Neodiprion lecontei: one gene and its partners. The protein of the gene in region 1 interacts with the protein of each later gene in a pairwise test. Links are inferred from orthologs where the notes say so. Each region holds a gene or a part of one and is shown in the gene's direction. Other genes may lie near its edges. The genes, in order: DNA repair and recombination protein RAD54-like, translation elongation factor 2, DNA repair protein RAD51 homolog A and 26S proteasome non-ATPase regulatory subunit 7.

Evidence for each region.
Region 2: the proteins of DNA repair and recombination protein RAD54-like (region 1) and translation elongation factor 2 interact in a two-hybrid assay, tested with the Caenorhabditis elegans proteins (2 studies listed by BioGRID). The link is inferred for Neodiprion lecontei from reciprocal best matches to the Caenorhabditis elegans genes rad-54.L and eef-2.
Region 3: the proteins of DNA repair and recombination protein RAD54-like (region 1) and DNA repair protein RAD51 homolog A interact in a two-hybrid assay, tested with the Caenorhabditis elegans proteins (3 studies listed by BioGRID). The link is inferred for Neodiprion lecontei from reciprocal best matches to the Caenorhabditis elegans genes rad-54.L and rad-51.
Region 4: the proteins of DNA repair and recombination protein RAD54-like (region 1) and 26S proteasome non-ATPase regulatory subunit 7 interact in a two-hybrid assay, tested with the Caenorhabditis elegans proteins (2 studies listed by BioGRID). The link is inferred for Neodiprion lecontei from reciprocal best matches to the Caenorhabditis elegans genes rad-54.L and rpn-8.

Annotation. Positions count from the first base shown.
Region 1 is NC_060260.1:23,067,520-23,075,012, reverse strand, and holds DNA repair and recombination protein RAD54-like, read left to right. Parts: upstream 1-1,712; 5' UTR 1,713-1,832; coding exon 1,833-1,835; intron 1,836-2,203; exon of another isoform or gene 2,204-2,226; intron 2,227-2,520; coding exon 2,521-2,703; intron 2,704-2,855; coding exon 2,856-3,046; intron 3,047-3,386; coding exon 3,387-3,589; intron 3,590-3,670; coding exon 3,671-3,854; intron 3,855-4,061; coding exon 4,062-4,320; intron 4,321-4,510; coding exon 4,511-4,772; intron 4,773-4,927; coding exon 4,928-5,093; intron 5,094-5,185; coding exon 5,186-5,591; intron 5,592-5,679; coding exon 5,680-5,843; intron 5,844-5,973; coding exon 5,974-6,175; 3' UTR 6,176-6,959; downstream 6,960-7,493.
Region 2 is NC_060260.1:38,939,549-38,944,591, forward strand, and holds the start of translation elongation factor 2, read left to right. Parts: upstream 1-1,999; 5' UTR 2,000-2,151; coding exon 2,152-2,154; intron 2,155-3,256; coding exon 3,257-3,471; intron 3,472-3,601; coding exon 3,602-3,795; intron 3,796-4,098; coding exon 4,099-4,307; intron 4,308-4,419; coding exon 4,420-4,653; intron 4,654-4,935; coding exon 4,936-5,043. UniProt on the Caenorhabditis elegans protein: Catalyzes the GTP-dependent ribosomal translocation step during translation elongation.
Region 3 is NC_060266.1:1,583,444-1,587,145, forward strand, and holds DNA repair protein RAD51 homolog A, read left to right. Parts: upstream 1-1,592; 5' UTR 1,593-1,722; coding exon 1,723-1,818; intron 1,819-1,985; coding exon 1,986-2,921; 3' UTR 2,922-3,169; downstream 3,170-3,702. Other genes in the region: N-acylneuraminate-9-phosphatase, read right to left, coding at 1,137-1,268.
Region 4 is NC_060261.1:13,991,601-13,997,144, forward strand, and holds 26S proteasome non-ATPase regulatory subunit 7, read left to right. Parts: upstream 1-1,986; 5' UTR 1,987-2,114; coding exon 2,115-2,289; intron 2,290-2,432; coding exon 2,433-2,525; intron 2,526-3,090; coding exon 3,091-3,269; intron 3,270-3,640; coding exon 3,641-3,844; intron 3,845-3,932; coding exon 3,933-4,238; 3' UTR 4,239-4,997; downstream 4,998-5,544. Other genes in the region: inosine triphosphate pyrophosphatase, read right to left, coding at 744-1,313; protein artichoke, read right to left, coding at 5,315-5,544.

The DNA of each region.
Region 1 (7,493 bases):
CTGCATTGCTGGTAAGTGCTTTGGATTCGGGTCCGGCTAGTAGTAGCTAGTAGTAGCTAGTGTAGCTAGTAGTAGCTAGTGCTGCTGCTGCTGCTGCTGCTGTTGGTGTTGTTATTTCTTTCATCTTGGGGTAAAAAACATTTTCCTTTAAATCGATTCTAATGACCCACCAATTAAACCCCGAGCATACCAAAAAAAAGGAGATCAGAGATCGTAACACAAACAGCTCAGAAGATACGGAGAAAATACGAAAGAATCAATTTGTTCATTGATTTATTTCAATAATGGTTACATCAGATAATAACAATATAATATTGTACTATAGGTATCGCTTCCTGCAGTGGGCTATTGCACGTGCATGCAGGCCAGAGCTTATAAACCCCATTACGACGTACAATAATAACTATCTAATATAACATATTTCATATTCGGCCTAAGGTTATGTATATAGCACTTCGTCTTTATGCTTTTGGCAGATTTTGCAACCAATCATCTACTTTTTTTGACACGTATATCAACGCCTAATGCCGCGTGTCTGTACTTTTTGGGCTAACACGCCTTTCACTTAACAATAATAAAAATCTATGATGCGCACTTGTAACGCTAAATATTCCAAAAAAATATTTTCATATGATAAGGATGATTATGGTTTGTGGCACAGTGATCTGCATGTTTAATTATAAATACGCGCATGGAAATTCTCGAGTTATCTTCTTGCTACACTATCTTCGATTACCGTTTTCGGTACTCTTTTTATTGTAGGTAGCTACAAATCACGTATCTCTTTTCGAACAACCTCTTCAACATTTTCAACTCCACCTTTCGGAAACGTAACAATAATATTGTCAATGCTCACTTTTCAAAATTAAATGAATGTGTAACGGTGCAAGGTCTAACTATACATGCTTCAACTTCCTTTGATGCGGAATAACAGTAGATTATAACTATGAGTATCTTTTGATAAAGGCCGTAGTACGTAAAGTAATGTCCATTGATGCATGCACCGTGGCTAACTTTATTTTTTCGACTTTTGTTTCCTTTCTACTCGTATTTTATGTACCAATAGCCGGCGAAGCAGTCGACAGGAGAAGCTGAGAAACCACGACGACAGCCTCTCGTCGCTATCATTCGTATAACCTCTAACAATAAGATCTCGTGCTCTCGCTCTGGTTCACGGTCGTGTATACAGGTCTGGGCACTCCCATATATTTCGTATACCCCACAGTGTGCCTCTATCTGAGACACATGTTTCCGACATTAGCCGCAAAAGTGCGGAGCGCTGCAATCTCGGGGGCACGTGTGTGATTAGCGGGGCTGTAGTGCGCGCATGCCCCTCCGTCACTATCGACGTGGCGAAATTTGGAAATATCGGCCTCAGTTAGAGGCACAGGTTTTTGGACGGAGTTCCCAGACCTGTATACACGACCATGCCTAGACCTGTATACACGACATCGGTATTACCGGTAAGATTACCTGCTCATCGAAGTTTTTGAGAGTTCATAACTCGGTGTAAAGTGTGTGTCAAACTGTCTCAAAACTATCGGTATATATCTATATGTATCATACCCCGGGCCAATGGCGCCCCTAGCGGGTAGATAGGAAACAAGACCGCGTGCCTCACTAACGGTGACACCCCCTACCACTCAAAAGTGCCGGAGTTACCAAACCTGTGTGTAAGACCGTGGTTGATGTTCATAAGTTTGTGTTTATGGTCGCGCCAATTTGTAGAATTTCAAATATAAATACATATTCGAATTGTGGCTGTCCTATAATTGTAATTGTATTTCTGATTGGTACTTTACAATGCTCGAGTGATATAAAAATCAAGAAAAATGGTGAGTGACAGCAATAATCTTATAATAAGTTTTTCAGAAGAAAGACGGTTTTTCACTTTGGTAAACATACGATAATTTGCTTTCCAAAAATCTAACCTCAATTTTTTTCATGTTAATCTTTGAACATTTCCAAATTAAAGTTTATGAATGTAAAAATTTGTCTGCATGTTCACAACTCTGGTTACATATAATCGACAGATGCAAGTGTATAAGGTCAAAAATAAATTGCCAATTCTCACAGGTTGTTAGAAAAAAATCTCATCAAGTCTAGGCTGTTTTCAACTTCTCATGAAAGAAATGAAATGAAAAATAAAATTCTTTTTTATACATTAGAAGAAACTCGTAGAATACTCACGAGTATGTTCTATAAGCTCTGAAAATTTTGTTGTGGGTATGCTGTCGCTTTCTCAACAAGATTGAACAAAATTCAAATGTGATGTGTTAGGTGTATAAAGTGGAAAATTGTGAACATTTTTTTCCTAGTTGAAGATGTCAATGCCAAAATTTCTACGATTATATAATATGGATTTGCTTATTTTGTATCTGTGACTCCAGACATTCAACAATCATGCAATTTATGTTTACCATTTTCTATTTGCAAATAATTAGTATCTTGTATGATTGAGTTATTCTCTATCACTATGTTCAAAGATATAGTGAATTAAATGTAGGATTTATATTAAAGATGAGATCAAGCGCTCCAAGCCAAAAAGGCAAACGACCTGGAGAGTTTTCTCCTCTCCAGCCACGCTCCACCATACCACAAAGAGAGAAACGGTTGAAGACCGAGTTGAAAGAAATTAAAATCTCACGTAAGCCACTCGTACAACTGTCAATTGCCGTTACTCCAGAATCATTATCCGAACATGTAAGCTAAATTCATTTAAGTTTTGGAATGAAACCTATTTCAATCTATAAATTTTCCCGCATTGAAGTTACCTTAATCAAAATTATGATTGTTACATGGAATTTATAATGCTTGTGTTAAGAGCGACGGACCAAATATATTTGTATTTACAGGAGGAGAGAATACGAAAGTTATTGAACCGGCCGTTTAAAATTCCAATTCCTGGTTATCAACTCTCTAACAGATCTCTTGGTATGCGTATGTTGGGACCTCGAACACCGCTCCACGATCCTGATGAGGCTAATGCATTGGTTGTTTACACACCACCTGAATTATCTGAACACGACAAACTGAAACTAGACACGTATGCAATTTGTTTTGCATTTATACCACCTCAATTGGTACATTTATTAAATAACTCAGGTTGAGAAGTATTGTTTAATTCAAATTATGTCTGGTTTTTAAAACTGAAGTTATATTGTCATATCTTTGGACCATCTAAACAAATACTAGTTGATGTATTACATCAAGTCAGTAATTAGCGTGACAAGCAAATTAATGTGTGAGTTCATTTGAACATACTTTGTTTTATTTTTATATGGATGATTGTTAGTATACTACTCCATACACATACTTCTTGGAAATAACTACCATATTCGAGTTGAATTAATAAAACGTAGTTAATTTTCTGTTTTGCCATGCAGGACCAAACAACTTGTTCACGTAGTAGTTGACCCAGCTCTGTGTAATATATTGCGACCTCATCAAAGAGAAGGTGTTAAATTTATGTATGAGTGTGTAACCGGGAAACGGATCGAAAATGCTTATGGCTGTATAATGGCTGATGAAATGGGTCTTGGTAAGACTCTGCAGTGTATTACATTGTTGTGGACTTTGCTGAAACAAGGTATAACAATATCAGTTAGAAAATTACCACTTTGGTACATGTAAGCACCATGAACTGCACAAAGTATTTATATTTTTGAAGGACCAGAAGCTAAACCACTTATTGAAAAAGCTGTGATAGTGGCGCCTAGTTCTCTAGTAAAAAATTGGTATAACGAAATACATAAGTGGCTTGGCAGACGAGTGAATCCCTTGGCCATTGATGGTGGGAGTAAAACAGACATTGACAACAAATTAAAAGGATTTATGAAGACCTATGGACGTAGGTATGCTTATACAAACTTTTCTTTTATTTAAAAAACGCCCTCAAATTATTAAATCAAGTTCGTATTGTAATTGTTAAAAGTATTTTTGTCCTTCACTCAATGCTAACACATTTTAATTTTGTGATTGGTCAAAGAACTACTTCGAAACTTGTGACAAATTTTTTTTTATGAATATCTAAAATGAAAATTTGAACTCATTCTATACAGATGTGCAAACCCAATTTTGATAATCAGCTATGAAACGTTTCGTTTGCACGCTCACGTTTTACATCAGGATGACGTTGGTTTAGTATTGTGTGATGAAGGTCATCGTTTGAAAAACAGTGAAAATCAAACTTATCAGGCACTTATGGGTTTAAAAGCAAAAAGACGTGTATTACTCAGTGGAACACCCATTCAAAATGACCTACTCGAGTACTTCTCACTGGTTCATTTTGTGAATCAAGGACTTCTTGGAACTGCCCAGGTACACTGATACATTTTACTATCTTCACATCAAACACGTCAGTTTTACTTTTAGTTGGTAAACTCAAGAGCTAATTTGTTAAAACTTAGCACAGGCATAATATATTTCTTATAATGAGTATGAATTGAAGACCCAATAGACTTGGCAAAAAATGTTATTTCTTTACTAGGTTACATGAATTTTTATTTAGGAATTCCGTCGGAAATTTGAAATCCCGATCCTGAAAGGTCAAGATGCTGGAGCAACTGACTCGGAGCGCCAAAGAGCGCAAGAATGTCTTCAAGAGCTGGTAACAATAGTAAACAAATGCTTGATAAGACGTACAAGTGCGCTATTGTCAAAGTATTTACCTGTGAAACATGAAATGGTCATTTGCGTTAAACTTAACAAATTGCAAACTCAGTTGTATCAAAATTTCATCAAAAGCGACAGTATCAGAAAATCTATGCAAGGCAAGTAGAAGGTGCAAATCATTATATCTGCTGTCAGCCACTTCTGTATGTTTTATGTTCTTTTAATTGTTCAGCAACCTGTTTCGTGCTAATTACACTGAATAATATTGTTTCTTTTTTCTAAGTCTCTTTACTATCAAAATTTTATTACTTAGGTGATGAATTTGGCACTGGCAAGAAAGGTAGTCTTTCAGCATTGTCCGCTATTACACTACTCAAAAAACTTTGTAATCATCCTGATCTGGTGTACGAAAAAATTCTGGAAAAGTCTGAAGGATTCGAAAATGCTGCAGAACTTCTACCTCCAAACTATAGTTTAAAGTAAATACAGTAGTGTTTTGTAAAATGTTTGTTAATTATTACTTGCGGCTATCTTGTATGCTTGTGCATTACCATTTTTATTTAACTTTCAGAGATGTCTTGCCAGAGCTGTCTGGTAAATTGATGGTCTTGGATTGTTTACTGGCGTTGGTAAAGTCAACTACAACGGATAAGGTTGTGTTGGTATCAAATTATACACAGACCTTGGACTTATTTGAAAAGTTATGTCGAAAGCGTACATATCGTTATGTTAGGCTTGATGGATCGATGACTATAAAAAAGAGATCCAAAGTCGTAGATAGTTTCAATGATCCAAACAGCGGCGATTTTATATTCATGCTGAGTTCTAAGGCAGGCGGATGTGGGCTTAATTTGATTGGCGCAAACCGACTAGTTATGTTTGATCCTGACTGGAATCCCGCCAACGATGACCAAGCTATGGCCAGAGTTTGGAGAGACGGACAAAAAAAGCCTTGCTTCATTTATCGCTTGCTTTGTGTAAATAATAATACATTCTCACAGTGATGGAATATTAGCCTTTTTAGTCTTAATTATTTGCAAACAAATACAATATTTGAATTTTCAGACTGGTACAATAGAAGAAAAGATATTCCAAAGACAGGCCCACAAGAAAGCATTAAGTTCGACTGTAGTTGACCAAGAAGATGATGTGGCGAGGCACTTTACTTTAAGCGACTTGCGCGATCTATTCACGTTGGAAGAAAACACCACATCTGATACCCATTCAAAGTTCGTATTAAACTTTCACCATTATCAACATTATCATTGACCATGCTCGATTTCTTATAATCCCAAAGTATAAAGACAAGCACTGTTGTCACGATATTATGATTTATATTCATTTTTATTGTTTATGTAGATTCAAGTGCAAGAGGTGCGTAAATGGAGTGGAGGTTCGCGGCCCACCCGAAGGAACAGACTGCAATTCTGACTTGTCGGATTGGAGACATGCCAACAATCCTCGTCATTTACCCGATCTGCCACTTCGGCAGTGCTGGGCTAGTGGCATATCCTTTGTATTCCATCATCGGTCACACGAACTCGTTAAAGCCGAAGAATGAAATGTATACAGACTATAGTAGAACGTCATTTTAATAATTGAAGCGTACTTTAAGAGGAGTACGAAAATAATTGCAATCAGCTTTGTATCTAGTTGCAACTAGTTCCTGTTAAATACGTTAATATGATGTCTGTCATTCCTGTCTCTTATTTTTTCCATTCATCGATTTTGTAATGGCATAAAACAGATCCCTAAAGGCGGTCACGAAAACATCAATTTGTTTTATAAAATACTTTTTTTCGTTTATAAACAGTTTTCACTCAGCGAAAGATAATAATAATAATAATAATAATAATAATAATAATGATTCGAAGTTCAGTTTGTAGAAATGTTTCGTATTCTTTGATATTCGATAACAAAAGTAATTGTGATGTATTATAATATAAGTTTAGAATAATGTGGAGCTCAGGTGTGAATAATTCTCCGAAATGATTTTTATAGTAAAATCGTCATTCCGTGACAACAAAGAATGAGAATAGTATTAAAAATTAAATAAACTGTTTCATAAAATGTCGTATAAGTTCTTAGTTATACAAATGGATAGCTTTCATGTTTCAATTAATTTATATGTACATTTTTATTGTATACTAGGGGCTTCGCCCCTGCGCGCTTCGCGCCCCACTATTTCCTTATACATTGTCTATTAGACAGGTGAATTCATTTATGCTGATTTGTACTGGTTTTGTCCACTGTCTCCGTCGCCGGTGAAGAGTGGCGAGAATTGTCTTTCATCTTGGGATCCGATTTGGTGTGGATTAATTTGTTTTCCGCGATACACGATTAAACATGTCTTAAAAATGTCCGCAGCTGCAGCTAATTCTGCTTCTCCCCCGTAAATTCCATTTTTATTCATGTGTGATTTGTGACCAGGTGACATAATCACGGCACCGTTTGAGTCATTACCTGTAATAAAAGCCGCAAATGTAGACCAATCATCAACTGTATTCGAAACGATACTCTGTCTCACCTCTGCGTGTCGATCTTGAGTGCCGTGTACACAATACGCCAGCGCGCGAAAACGACAATTCCCGTCGGGAATCATCTTAATAATTCTCATTTGCATATTTATTTTTTGTGAGTCAGAAACAGATAACTATAAAGATATTTGTCAAAGACTGTCATAAACAGCCGATGACAGCTGTCAATCACTTGACACTAACTTCATAGCAACAGCAACTTTATTATTAAATGAGTTTATTTGAAAATACTCCACGTTCGACTTCTCAGCGCACATCTTGTTATGAAAATAGGAAGTTTTGTTTTCTAGATGCTTTTTGTTTTCGGCATCTTACCCCACCGCCAACTTCATGCGTATACTA
Region 2 (5,043 bases), about 16 Mb from region 1:
CGGTCAATCAGCGATGCCAGGTCCATACAATATCCCTTCTGCTTCTTCGAAAAGATCGTGCTCAATGGATTGTTCAGTCCGACGAGCTGTCCTCGCCTCTTTGCTAGCCAGGGATGCCCGGCGGTTTGCTTGGGTGATGCGCGCATTCTTGTACTTAGCGGCGAAATCTGCGGCACTCGGCCCTATCGTGCATCCCATCGTGTCCAAAATTTTTAAAATTGGGTCGTAACCTTCATTGAAGGTGCACAAAGCACACTGCGTAGCGATTTCTACTATCTGCTTGCCGCAGAATACGTGCTTTGGGGCTAGTTGCCACACACAGTGATTGAAGCTCTCGTTATTGTTTTGAGTGTTCGCGCCCGGACATCGCTTTTTTTTTTTGAAAATTGAGTGCGACAAAAAAATAAGTCGCGCGACTAATTTACGGCTAATTAACGGCAAATTATGCAATAGTCCGAATTCACATTTTCGACAATTGGCGAGCCAAGTTCATGTACGTGCAGGTAGGAACGAGACAATAGAAATAACGGTCGCACGGGCAGCTGTAGCGCTCCGTTGCCTTCTTCCAAGAAATGCTTTACAGTAACCGAAATAATCTGAATTTCGGCATGAAAATTTCGGGGAATATTCGGTAGAGTGTATACTATTCGATATAGCAAAAAAAAAAAATCGATTTTTTGAAAATTTCACACTGGAAAGCTCCCTTAATACACACAACTGTGCACGGTGAAAAAGGAGAAGCAATATTAAAAAAAAAAAAATAACGAGGAAAAAAAAATTGAAAAATCATTAACGTAAGAGGATAAACAGCAATAGTAACTTCACGTAAAGTGTATATTGTATGCGTGCGCAATCATGCGAATTCGCAAAACTCGACGGGAATAAATCTTTACTATTTCCACCTTTTGAATGTGTTTAAGATATTTTGTTTTACCTCTGATTTTTTAAATTCAATCACAATTATATGAATATTTATTAACCGCTTATGTATACACGCATAATGTATTGATTTGAAAAAATATATAACATATATCTTTGCAGAAAAAAAATAATTTGTTTGAATAACTATTTGTTATTTCTTTAAGAATTCCTGACGTTATTTTGTGTAGGCTACAGATGAATATTTTTATTTTCAGCCGAAGGTGATTGCGATTTTATCGCAACATTTCATAGGATATGGGAAAATCATCTTAATTCGTTGAAGCCTTGTCGAACTTGTGGAAGAACCTTCAGAAATGACGCTTTGCTCAAACACGAACCGCACTGCAATGGCTCCTACTACAAAAAGAGGATCAGACGTTCTGTAGGAGTAAAAACAAGAAGGAAATGAAGATGAGATGCATATTACATTCATTTCAGTTCACTAATGCGATTATATACTTACAACTAATATCAGAATTTGAATATTTATGCTAGTACAATAGTACATAATACGTTGCAGACAAATATATGTAATCATGTTAATCGAAGACGATAAACGTTTATACTATATAAGAGAGTCGTAAGAATACAGGTTCCATTGAGATCATCCTGTACGTCGAAGCAAACCAAACATAGTAAATAGAGTTAAGAATATTGTTGCACAATATTACAAAACCTGGTGTGTTGCACGCAGATCATGCAGATTGACGAGTAAATGCAATGTAAGCAAAGCCGGAAGATAGTAATTGCGACGCGACGACGAGTGACGCATTAAACGTGAGACGAATATTTTTGGTTGGGTAGAGTCGGTTGTTGTTTGAAAAAAGAATAATAAAACTAGTGAGAAAAAAAACTAACATTAATTTATTTTTCTTATGTTAATTAATCGCGGATAACGCAACCCTAATCCTCCAATGATAGCATACAAGCTCATTTAGAGATTGGTTTGGTTGTTTCACAGCGTCAGCATCCGTCAGGTGGCAGCAGTTTTCCGACGCCGTTATATTTTTTGTGCATGCGTGAAAATCAGAGCTCTGATTGGTCGGATTTAGTGTGGAGAGTGTGTGTATTGCTACGCGCGCGCCATCTAGGACGTACGAACAGAGATAGTGACAGAGATAGCCCTCTTACTGCACTCTAGTCCGCTTGACTATTCTTTCCCAGGGAGTCCGCCGTTGTTGGCGCACGTATATTTCTGACCAGGCTAACGAAAATCGGACAACATCCAAAATGGTAAGTAGAATTTTAGCATGATAATGGATAAATCGAATTCCGCATGAATCGGAGAGTGAAATAACGTGTTTATTTTTTACACCCGAGCGTCGGGGAGTAATGAAAGAAATTAAAAACTCCAGGATTGCTCTGGATTGCGCAACCCTCCGAACGTCATTGCTTGAGAATGAATTACCATTCTCGACAAGGACCTATCCTAATAAGAATTACGCCGAACCCTCTTCCATATTCTTAACGGCTATATGCTTCCAAATTTCGTATGTCGAATCCGAACTGAACGATGCAAATCTGTAGAATATGTCGATCGCATCCCTCACAGACATTGCCCGACAACGTGTCACAAGCCAACATGACGATCCTCTTGCCATATTCACCAGTTTTCTCGAGTTTACATGCTCTCACAATATTGGCCGAGCCTTGCTTATACGCTTTATTAATTATAGCTTTTCCCACGGACTCTCCTACTTTTCGAAATTCTAGGCGATTAATTTACCAATATGGAAGAGAGAGTATCAATATTCCGGAAGAGAAATGAAAGTAGAAGCGGAAAAAATTTAACTGAAGCTACATATGGGTATATTTGTTTAATGGACGACCAACTACCAAACTTAATCATATCTATTCAGATACTAATCTTAGATTAGGATACCCGTCTCCAAATTAAACAATATGTTTGGAATCTTACTACGTAATATGTATTATATCTGACAAAAGCATACTAGGGATATCCAAGCTTTTCCAAATATTTGACCAAAGGAGGCAACCGTTGATAATTAACGGTTGTCTGGAAAATATTTTTAATCCTAACAGTTAGGATTGCAGTATGACCTTTAAACCAATTAGTTTTTATTTACTGTGGAAATATCTATTTATCTAATCATGCTTATGAACAGGCTAAGAAAACTCCTTCATTGTCCACTGACTACAGGCTATTTTCAATTTCATAATTTATTTTTTCTACCATAACTTTACATTGCTATGAGAAACATTTTGTTTTGTAATTACCTGAACAAAGTTGCCAATCATTACTAGCAGAGTTTAAATTAATTGAAAAATAAACTTGGCTTATGTGTATTTAAGAAAATTTATGATTATACTTTAGGTGAACTTCACGGTAGACGAGATCCGTGGGATGATGGACAAAAAGAAAAACATCCGAAACATGTCCGTCATCGCCCACGTCGATCACGGAAAGTCAACATTGACTGACTCCCTTGTTTCTAAGGCCGGTATTATTGCCGGTGCTAAAGCTGGTGAGACCCGATTCACAGACACTCGCAAAGATGAACAGGAACGTTGCATTACCATCAAATCAACGTGAGTATTTAGTTTATTTTTTCAAATATTGCTATTACAGCATTTGATAACAGAAAATGATTTATTTAAAAATTCGAATAGCTCAAATCTGCTACTGATATTACATTCATTTTACAATACTGTTCTTTAGTGCCATATCCATGTACTTTGAACTTGACGAGAAGGACTGCGTTTTCATCACGAATCCAGACCAACGTGACAAAGAAGAGAAAGGATTCTTGATTAATTTGATTGACTCTCCTGGGCACGTGGATTTCTCAAGTGAGGTAACGGCTGCTCTGCGTGTTACTGACGGAGCTCTTGTCGTCGTCGATTGTGTTTCTGGTAAGCTGGATTGTATATAATTTTCTGTACACCTTCCAGCACACCAGGGCAACTCTGTAGTGCGCCGAACAATTTTTCTTGAAAAGCTGTTCCGTGCACTTTGACAGTGTTTGCAGTGCATTTATGGAAGAAGATCAAATATGTCACTTTGTTTAAACGCTGTCAGTGGACCTCTATCTTTATGTCCGATACTGGCATGCTACGACCTTGTTCCTACAAAACAAATTAATTCCTTTGAATTGTGTTTGATAAAAATCACAATGACCAAGTTGTGTTGGATTTCAATTGGCTACTTTTCTGCAGGAGTGTGCGTACAGACCGAAACAGTACTTCGTCAAGCTATTGCCGAACGTATCAAGCCTGTATTGTTCATGAACAAAATGGACCGTGCTTTGCTTGAGCTGCAGTTGGAAAGTGAAGATTTGTACCAGACTTTCCAGCGTATTGTTGAAAATGTGAATGTCATCATTGCCACCTACTCAGACGACGATGGTCCCATGGGAGAAGTTCGTGTAAGTTATCCGTGCTGTGTGAAAAATACCCTAACAAATTCCACAATTCATCACCGTCAATTAATAATTTGTAGATTGAACCAATTAAAATATTAATTTTTCCTTTCTAAAGGTTGACCCTAGCAAGGGATCTGTGGGCTTCGGGTCTGGACTCCATGGATGGGCATTTACATTGAAACAGTTTTCCGAAATGTATGCTGAGAAATTCAAGATTGATGTTGTGAAACTGATGAATCGACTCTGGGGTGAATCCTTTTTCAACCCAAAGACCAAGAAGTGGAGCAAGCAAAAGGAAGCTGACAACAAGCGGTCCTTCTGCATGTATGTCCTTGATCCCATCTACAAGGTATTTCTAAAACATATTATGTATATTGTGTCTCAAGTTTATTGATTACTGAACGAAAGACAATGCATTGAAACAACAAAGTTTTCACTGTACTATCAATTGGTATTTCTAGAGTGTTATGCACATTTAGAATGCATTTTTATTCTTTTGTGTAGTCTAAAGTGACTAACAAACTGCAAGTATAATAGAGTATGTCAGTGTGATTCAGTTCTATGGCTATTTTAGTATTCGTTACACGAAGTACATGTTTACTTATGAAATATGTTTTTTTTTTTTTTTCAGGTATTCGACTGCATCATGAACTACAAGAAAGACGAAGCTGAGAGTCTATTGCAAAAGTTGGGCATCACTTTGAAGCCTGAAGACAAGGACAAGGATGGCAAGGCCCTC
Region 3 (3,702 bases), on another chromosome or scaffold:
TTACACATCAAACTGACGAGTAACTGCGAGGATAATGGATAAGACGGATAGAATTCTGCACTAAAGTGTGTAGAATGTGTAGAATAAGCTTTCATAGGTCAAGTTGACCAGAGTTCGTACGCTTTTTGGAATCTAAAAGTCCCCGATGTTTCTAAGCGTTTCAGCCTGGAAATAGGATTTATCCAGTAGCCTTCAAAGAAATATGCCGCTAATTTTTTTACATTAATACTAATATCTTCGATATTACTTAATAACTAACTTACTATCTAACAATTTACAAACGACAGCCTGCGATTTTCCGTAAGAAAAAAATCGAAAGAATGTTTGGTATTAAGTAATATACATAGAATGTATGAAGTGGTGCGACGAAACAAAATTTTACGTGCAATTTTTTTTATTAAGATCGACAGTACTTTGTATATAAGAACGAGTTTACTTGTTCGACAAACTCAAAATTTCAGTCTTACTTTAAAATTCTTGTGAGTTTACCCTGTGCGTGCGAACCCTGTTGACACTATGATTCTGGGCAATGGATTGAAATAATTAAATGTAGAGAGTTTAATCAGTGGTGTTTGTAAATCGAGTTACAAATTGCTACGCTATAACGAGCATCTAAACTTCAGCTGACGCAGATCAATGCGAATGTTTTTTAGCGACGAGAAGCGAGCACTGCTGCCAACGTAATTGGATCATCGAAAATTTTCGGTGCTTCAATCGAATCGAATAAAACGCGCACATCCGCGTCGCGATGCCGTGACGTCACGTGCCCTTCGAAAGTAGCTCGCACAGTGCGAAACATACGTTGGCGGTATTTTTCCAGAGATAGCTCGCCCCGCTCGCCGCCTCATTCGTTCGTTCGCAACGCGAATAGCGAACTAGTTGAAAGCGAGCGAGAGAATGAGAAGCAAACGGGTGTCTATGTACGGATTATTTTCTTCGATCCGTAATTTTTTCTTCTCTTTTCATTTTTGTCTGGCCCGTTTCCCCCGTTTCCCTCTCATTTTATTCGTTGCGGCGACGAGATATACGACATACACGCACACACGCACTGCAGGTAGCAATGAATCGGTGAAAATAAACGAAAGCAAGATGAACGCGTGACCGACGTCTTGGCTGATTTATTTTTCAGCACGTACCTTTCTACACGCTAAACTATCCCCCTTTCTAGTCTCGATCAACGTGTTGTCCAGGTCGAATAGAACTGTGGTTATAGCCGCAGCTGCTGCCGTTGTTGTCGTCGTTGAGTTTTTCCTTCCAAGAGCTGCCATCCTGTCTATGTATCGCTACCTTCTAGCTCGTACTAATTCCGCGCTGTTTGGCTCTGCTTTGACTTCTCTAATGCTCGGCAGACTCTTATGTGACAACATGAGCTTGTATTAATGAATTAACGACCTGCTGCTTCGTCGTTTGGCCACCCAACCAGTGGCAGGTACTGTACAACCAAGGCGGAGGAGTGGGGCAGCAGCGGTGGTTTTTTCACGTCTGACGTCACGGCTCTTGTGGTTTTTTTAATCGATGAGCATAGCAGTCTGATTTACCGGTCAAGTCGGTTGACTGAAACAGAACAACAACGTTATCGGACCGTCGGTAATTTTCAGTCGGTATACGTGTTACGTAAATATTATTACGGCGGGAAACAACGTTGTGACCCGACTCGAAATTTGACAGGATCGCGTAGAAGGTTCTTTTTTCGCTTCGTCCAGCAGGCGAAAAATTAATTCAATGTCGGTAACGGCTACGGCAACTACTGCGTCTATCCAGGGCGACGAGGATTTAGAAGAGTTTAATCCACAGGCGAAACTGATAAAGGCTATAGAAGTGAGTAATGAATGCGAAGAAGTGTGTTACCCAACCTAACCTAAATCGGCCCAACTGAGGATTAAGTGAACTCTCTCTAACCATAAAATATTCCCGCCTATTAGCTTGTTTTCTCACCGCTCGTCGGAACAAGTATCAAAGTGTAAAATGCATGTTTCTTTTTTCAGGGTAATGGCATTACGGCGGGTGATGTTAAAAAACTGCAGGAAGCGGGTTACTACACTGTCGAGTCAGTGGCGTACACGCCAAAGAAGCAGCTCACCACGATAAAAGGGCTGAGCGAGGCAAAGGTAGAGAAAATACTGGATGCTGCGTACAAGATGGTGGTGATGGGCTTTAAGACTGCAACCGAGATCCATCAGTACAGGGCGAACACTGTATATCTAACGACAGGATCCGCGGAACTGGACAGGCTCCTGGGTGGAGGGATTGAGACGGGTTCGATAACCGAGATATTCGGGGAATTCCGAACAGGCAAAACGCAGATATGTCATACGCTTGCGGTCAACTGCCAGTTGCCAGTGGACATGGGCGGTGGAGAAGGAAAGTGCCTTTACATCGATACGGAGGGCACGTTTCGTCCCGAGAGGATAATCGCAGTAGCTGAACGGTACAAGATCAGCTCCGAGTCTGTTTTGGACAATGTCGCCTGTGCTAGAGCCTTCAATACCGACCACCAGACACAGCTGCTCATTCAAGCTTCTGCGATGATGACAGAGTCTCGATACGCGCTGCTAATTGTCGACAGCGCCACAGGTCTCTATAGAACGGACTATTCGGGTAGGGGGGAATTGTCCGCCAGACAAATGCACCTTGCTAGGTTTCTAAGGATGCTTCTGAGAATTGCCGACGAGCACGGCGTAGCAGTCGTAATAACGAACCAGGTTGTAGCCCAGGTCGACGGCGCGGCCAGTATGTTTGGCGGCGATCAGAAGAAGCCCATCGGCGGTAACATCATCGCTCACGCCAGTACCACAAGATTGTACTTGAGGAAGGGCAGGGGCGAGACTAGAGTTTGCAAAATATATGACTCGCCCTGTCTTCCCGAGAGCGAAGCTATGTTTTCTATAAATTCGGACGGCATTGGGGACGCTAAAGAATAATTTTGATAACGAGTTGACAAAGTTTTGTGATACGATATACTATATAGGATAATATAACTCTAAGATAAAAGATTTAATATTTTTATATATGAGAACGTATTTCTATCGTAGATTGTAATGTTTAATTTATCAGTAATCGTTAAGCAATTTAATTACGATATATAAATAAATAAATGAATAATTCCCCTTGTGTAAAAATTGTTTGATGGGCAGTAATTTAAAATGTGTATTATCAATTAACAAAGAAAACGCAAATGATAATGAAATAAACTTTCTTTGCTTTTTTATAAATCATTTTCATTCGTTATTCCAGAGCCTTGAACATTTTTTAACATAATCATCTGAACTCCTTAGGCAATTTTATTTATTTATTTATACACGAATAAGCCGATGGAATTATGGACTTTAAAATTTTTTTTTAGTTCAAGATTTGAAAATCGAATTCGATTCTTACACACTTGGAATCGATGCTAGAAAAATTCGATTGGTAAATTATCGATACAAAAAAGAGAATTTTTTAGCCATCCTTAATTAATGTCCTTCATCCTGGTGAGTTGTTACCACTGAAATATATATACGTGATTGTTATAGGTATACCTCTCATGGGTGTAGTACACATGACACCCGTGCGTGACACAAGCAGCCGGCGAAAATTGCTGTTAGGTTAAGTTATCAATGACGCAATCGTGTCAGTTTTATCATCGCGCATAATTTTGATCCCAGCTCATCGTCGTTCGTTGGGAAGATAAAAAGTATACAACTGTTTGGTGTTAAACGGTCT
Region 4 (5,544 bases), on another chromosome or scaffold:
GGTGGGGGGGGGGGGAGGGGGCACCGGCACCTCAATACCTTTCCTTATAAGTTTGTTAATGCTGCAGTAATGGTTTACTAAATTTCAAGTAATCCTAAAGTTGCACAATAACGATTTTTTTCAAACATACATCGCTACATTAACGTTACAAATTTCAGCCTGATACAATATGTTAGCCTGATGTTTAATTGCCTGTTTTCCTGGCACTAAATTTATGACTACATTATCACCGTTGAACTTGACCCCTGGTAGACAGATACACAATACAACCTACTTCCCATAAATGTGCAGTTTTTCAGCATAAACATATTTTATCACCAACGATATTTATATTAATTTATAAATAGTAATCACATGTTTTTCCAGCGTAGTCACTCTGTGGTAATAACACTCCACAACCAACTTACTCATATTTTACTTACGTATTGTATGTATTCCATTGTAATCTCATTATGTGACTAAGGATCATTGAATGTTACTGAATATTCGAATTTTGAAGCTGTTATATAAACCGTCCCAAACCACAATAATCTTTATACTTTGAAAGACAGTCAATGAGATTCCATGGAACACCAATAACCGTCACTGTTGTCAGTTTCCGGCTGAAATTTGAGCGTTAAACTCATTAATCCTCTTAAGCATTGGTAGTTCATACGTTTTCTGAGAAACTAAAGAATGAATTACAGCAAACATCTAATGAAAAAAGAGAAACACATGCTCATCATTATGTAATATATAATTTATTACACTAAATTATTACAAAAATAATTTTTCATTTCTGTTAAAGCTTTGCTACGGTGTGAAATCTGGTTCTTAATGTCCTTGGGCAATTCCGCATAAGTCTTGTCGTATCCGACTGGCTGGAAGCATGCGTCCCACCCAAACTCCCTCGTCCCTCGTGGATTGACTATAACCCCATCAGTAATACCTCTAAAAATACTAACATCGCCATCGGGATCACCGTCACAGTATCCAAAAGTACACACTGCTTGAGCTGATTTGTCATTCCAAGCAGCTAGCATTTTGGGGAGACCATCAACACCCAACTTTTCCATAAACCACTTAATATATGGCCCGGGGAGACCGTTCATTGCATTGAAACACAAAGAAGTATCTTCTACCACAACTGGGCCATTAACTATTCGCGCTGCAGCTCTGCACTTATCCTTGCATATGTCATCGATTTCTCCTTGATATTCAGGTAGATCAATCTTCCTGCTTGTGATGTCTCTCGGAAAATTCTTTCCTAAAATTGCTATCACTTCTTCAAGCTTCTTCGCATTTCCAGTTACGAAAACTATCGTCTTTGACATTTTCAATCTTCACGGTTAGCGCCCTGAAACAAATTAAGTATTCCTCCTAAAATCTGATTCAAAATCTTCCTAGTACGTCTAATATTTCGCTAATCAGACAATAACAAAGGACAAAATATATGCAAGTCGGTTAGCTTGGATAAACTTTTGACACGTGGTCCTCTTTTGTTGGCAACGCTGTTGGCCGTAAAATGACGTAATAATAATAAAAAACCAGTTTTCGAACGTGTGACGAATTGGTTAGTGACAGAAATTCATGTATCTCATAGCTTACACGTATTTCTTTTTATTTTCTCTTACTAAACCATGGAATATTCAACAGCTACTTTACTGAGAAAAACCAAATACTTTCTTGGATGTCTCAACTACAGTCTCAACCAAAAAGTGTGGAATAGGTTGGTACGACGAGTAAGGCAAAAGGCACACTTGTTGCCAATATGAAACAGGCAACACAACTTTCCCTAGAATAGAACCAAACGACGGACATTTCCATCCAGAAACCTTCAACCTAGCTGGTATCACGAAAAGCCGAGCGTTGGAAATCTCCCTACTCATCTCTGGCAGCACTGCTGCTGCGTCAAATCACTAGACAGCTGTTAGTAACATCTAGGAAGTTACTAAACTGCTGCTGCTTTCTGCTGCTCATGAAATTCCACCTTTACACTGTGCAGACTGCAGTGTGCAGAGCTCGGCAGAGCCAAGTTGAAATTGAGAGCCTGTGTCATCTGTGATCTGTGTTGACTGTTGAGTATAAGCGGCAACTAATCTATTTCCGACGTTTGTGAAATAACTGATCAAAAAATGCCGAGTCAAGAGGTCTCCACAGCAAAAGTAGTGGTTCATCCACTAGTTTTATTGAGTGTAGTTGATCATTTTAATCGCATGGGAAAAATTGGTAACCAGAAAAGAGTTGTCGGCGTATTATTGGGCTGTTGGAGAGCCAAGGGAGTATTAGACGTGTCCAACAGTTTTGCAGGTTAGATTCTATCCTTTAGTTATTTATATTATTCTACCACCTCTGGCTGCTTAAGCAGGTGAACAAAATACTCTGCAACTTGTTATTGAACTCATTATTGAGTAGTTTTTATAATACAATACATTTATTTTTGCAACTTCTAGTCCCATTTGACGAGGATGACAAGGATAAATCAGTGTGGTTCCTCGACCATGACTACCTGGAAAACATGTACAGCATGTTCAAAAAAGTTAATGGTAAAGATTTTTATTGAACATAATTCATATTCCTTTTGATTGGACCCAACAAAGAATTATCACCAATCTCTAGTGATGCAAGTTAATAGAGTCGCCGATGAAAAAAGCGAGCGCTGCCAAGTCTAATACTACTATAAATTTCTGACTCTTCAAACATTATATCCACGTATGTTTTTCACTGTGAAAGCAATGATAGCTCCGTCAAAGTCTCTTATTGTTAGACAATGAATTGGCAACAGCAAAAAATGGTAGTATATTGCCATATTTTTTCAGCGGTTGATGCTATGATATCTTGATTTCAGGTTTTGAGTTCCTTGTATTCTAATTCGTCAATAAGTTTGATTCTATTCCGACATGGCTTTGCAAGAATAATCGATTGCGCAAGTCACTAAGGGCCTAAAATTCCATAAATACTGAAACTTATTTGAATTGCCGTTCTTTTGTTATTGATGTCTGTTCGATTAAAAACAATTCGACTAGTGCCCCATTGATTATATGATGCATTCAAAAGATAACCCTGCATCGCTATACAACATGTACCTAACAATATTTGAATTTATTTTAGCTCGTGAAAAAGTGGTCGGCTGGTATCATACAGGACCAAAATTACATCAAAACGACGTCGCGATCAACGAATTAATCCGTAGGTATTGTCCCAACTCAGTACTGGTAATCATCGATGCCAAACCCAAGGACTTAGGTCTTCCCACAGAAGCGTATCAAGCTGTTGAAGAAGTCCATGACGTAAGCGTCTTACTCTAGATACATCGCAATTTATGATTTTCTTAAATCTTGTTCATTTATAGATTTTCCTGCATCAATTAAACCAACATTGTCTGTAGATCTGGCTAATTTTCTATGATCTAAACTTTCTTATAGCACACTCAAAGAAGGTAACTTATCATTACTGTGCATGCAGCAGAAATAACAAAGTATTTCGTCCCCATGATTTATATTACCATTTACCAGAACTGTCAAAAGTCTTAATACAATTACCAATTCACTGTGGAATATATTAAATTTTGCTAACCATACGATAAAAAGGTGGCTCAATTGACGTAAACGGCCTAATGTAGATGAAAGACTCAATTATACATACTATTTGCTTGAATCAGGATGGATCACCAACTTCTAAAACCTTTGAACATATTCCGAGTGAAATCGGAGCAGAGGAAGCTGAAGAAGTTGGAGTCGAACACTTGCTCAGGGACATCAAAGATACCACCGTCGGTACACTCAGTCAAAGAATAACGAACCAATTACTTGGATTAAAAGGACTTCATGCCCAAATTCGAGAAATTAAGGACTACCTTATCCAGGTTCGATCGATCTATGTTTCTACTACATATTTCTCACGTATAGCTCATACCCAATAACACCCGATTATATCTTCATTGCAAATAACAGGTTGGCAATGGGAAACTACCGATCAATCATCAAATCGTTTATCAGCTACAGGATATCTTCAACTTGTTACCTGACATGTCACAAAACACGTTTGTCGATTCACTCTATGTCAAAACAAATGATCAAATGCTGGTAGTTTACTTAGCAGCTCTTGTCAGGTCAATCGTAGCACTGCACAATTTGATAAACAACAAATTAACGAATCGAGATGCAGAGAAAAAGGAGACTGATAAGAAAGAGACGAAAAAGGATGAAAAGAAAGAAGATGAGAAGAAAGATGAAAAGGAAAAGGCAAAAGTTAAATGATTTATACATAATAAATGGTGTTGAATACTGATAAATTATTTCACTGATGCAATGAGTAATTTGATTTCGTCGCCTATGTTATTTTAAACCAAGCCGAACTCATTTACGACCTAGACGGAATGACACCACAACTTAATCTATTTTCAATAATAATGTTATTACTTTCCTCGTTACAATGAAAGTGATCAAAGTGAGATGATGGAAAATTGTAGTTTCTCGCAGAAATACGCCTTAATATTACATCGTTAGACTTTGATGTATTTAAAACAGCGATTACGAAAAAGTGTAAACAGAACGTGTTTTTTCTTTTGTTTTTCGAATTAAATGTACTCGTATCTATATGAGAGTAACTTGAAACTCAAGATTCTCAAACGTTATTAAATTCACGCAGAAGTTTCAAATTTTACTAATTGTAGTTTTGTTACTGCTGGTTTGAAATAAACCTAAATGTTCATTAAGCGCTTAGTTCGTGTACATATTCCTCCTGACCCGCGAATTACGTGACTTCATTATCGAATAATTTATACACTGATTCTGAAAACCTCCAAACATTCTTTTCAACTTTTAGCCGTATTGTAACAAGAATAAATAGAACGATACCATCGATATAGCCGTACTTTTGTGATTCACAACCAGTATACATGCCCCACGAAAAAGATCATTTACAGTTTTGCTCTCACGGAACATGTTTTTACGCTGCAGCATAAACGGACCTTGACTAACATTGTATTTTATAATAAACGTAACTTTCTTGACTAATTTATTATTTTTCTATCGTTTCCTTCTCTGAATCCGAGGTGATGCGCATTTCTTAGTCTCATATTTGCTAAGAAAGCCGTCGTGAAAATCAAATCTCAGCGAACTTAACTCCCCGAAAAAAATGATACCATTATAGCGGACTCATACCAATCTAGCTACTTTAGCCAAGCGATCCATTGATTGACTCATAAATTGCACGCACGGAATATGTATTTCAATGCTAAATATAAAATTTGTCAGATTATAAATGTGAGGTCAAAACAGGATTCCGGCCAAAGTCTGCAGTTGCCGATAGAATATATTCCGCAATATTATGCTCACATTAATCTACAAATTATTAAATAAGTCACAGGTGAGAGAGTGATCAAAATTTTAACGTGGTCAGCACCACTATCGACTAATCCTACATAGGGTTCCAAGATTGTGTCATTGTAGTGTTGAAAATACCAATTGAAAGAACTGTCCTCTATTATTCTTACATTATCGTCGTTGCCATTGATTTGTTCCATCAACTTTGGTGTCGTGTCGTCTTTTGAGAATTTATCTT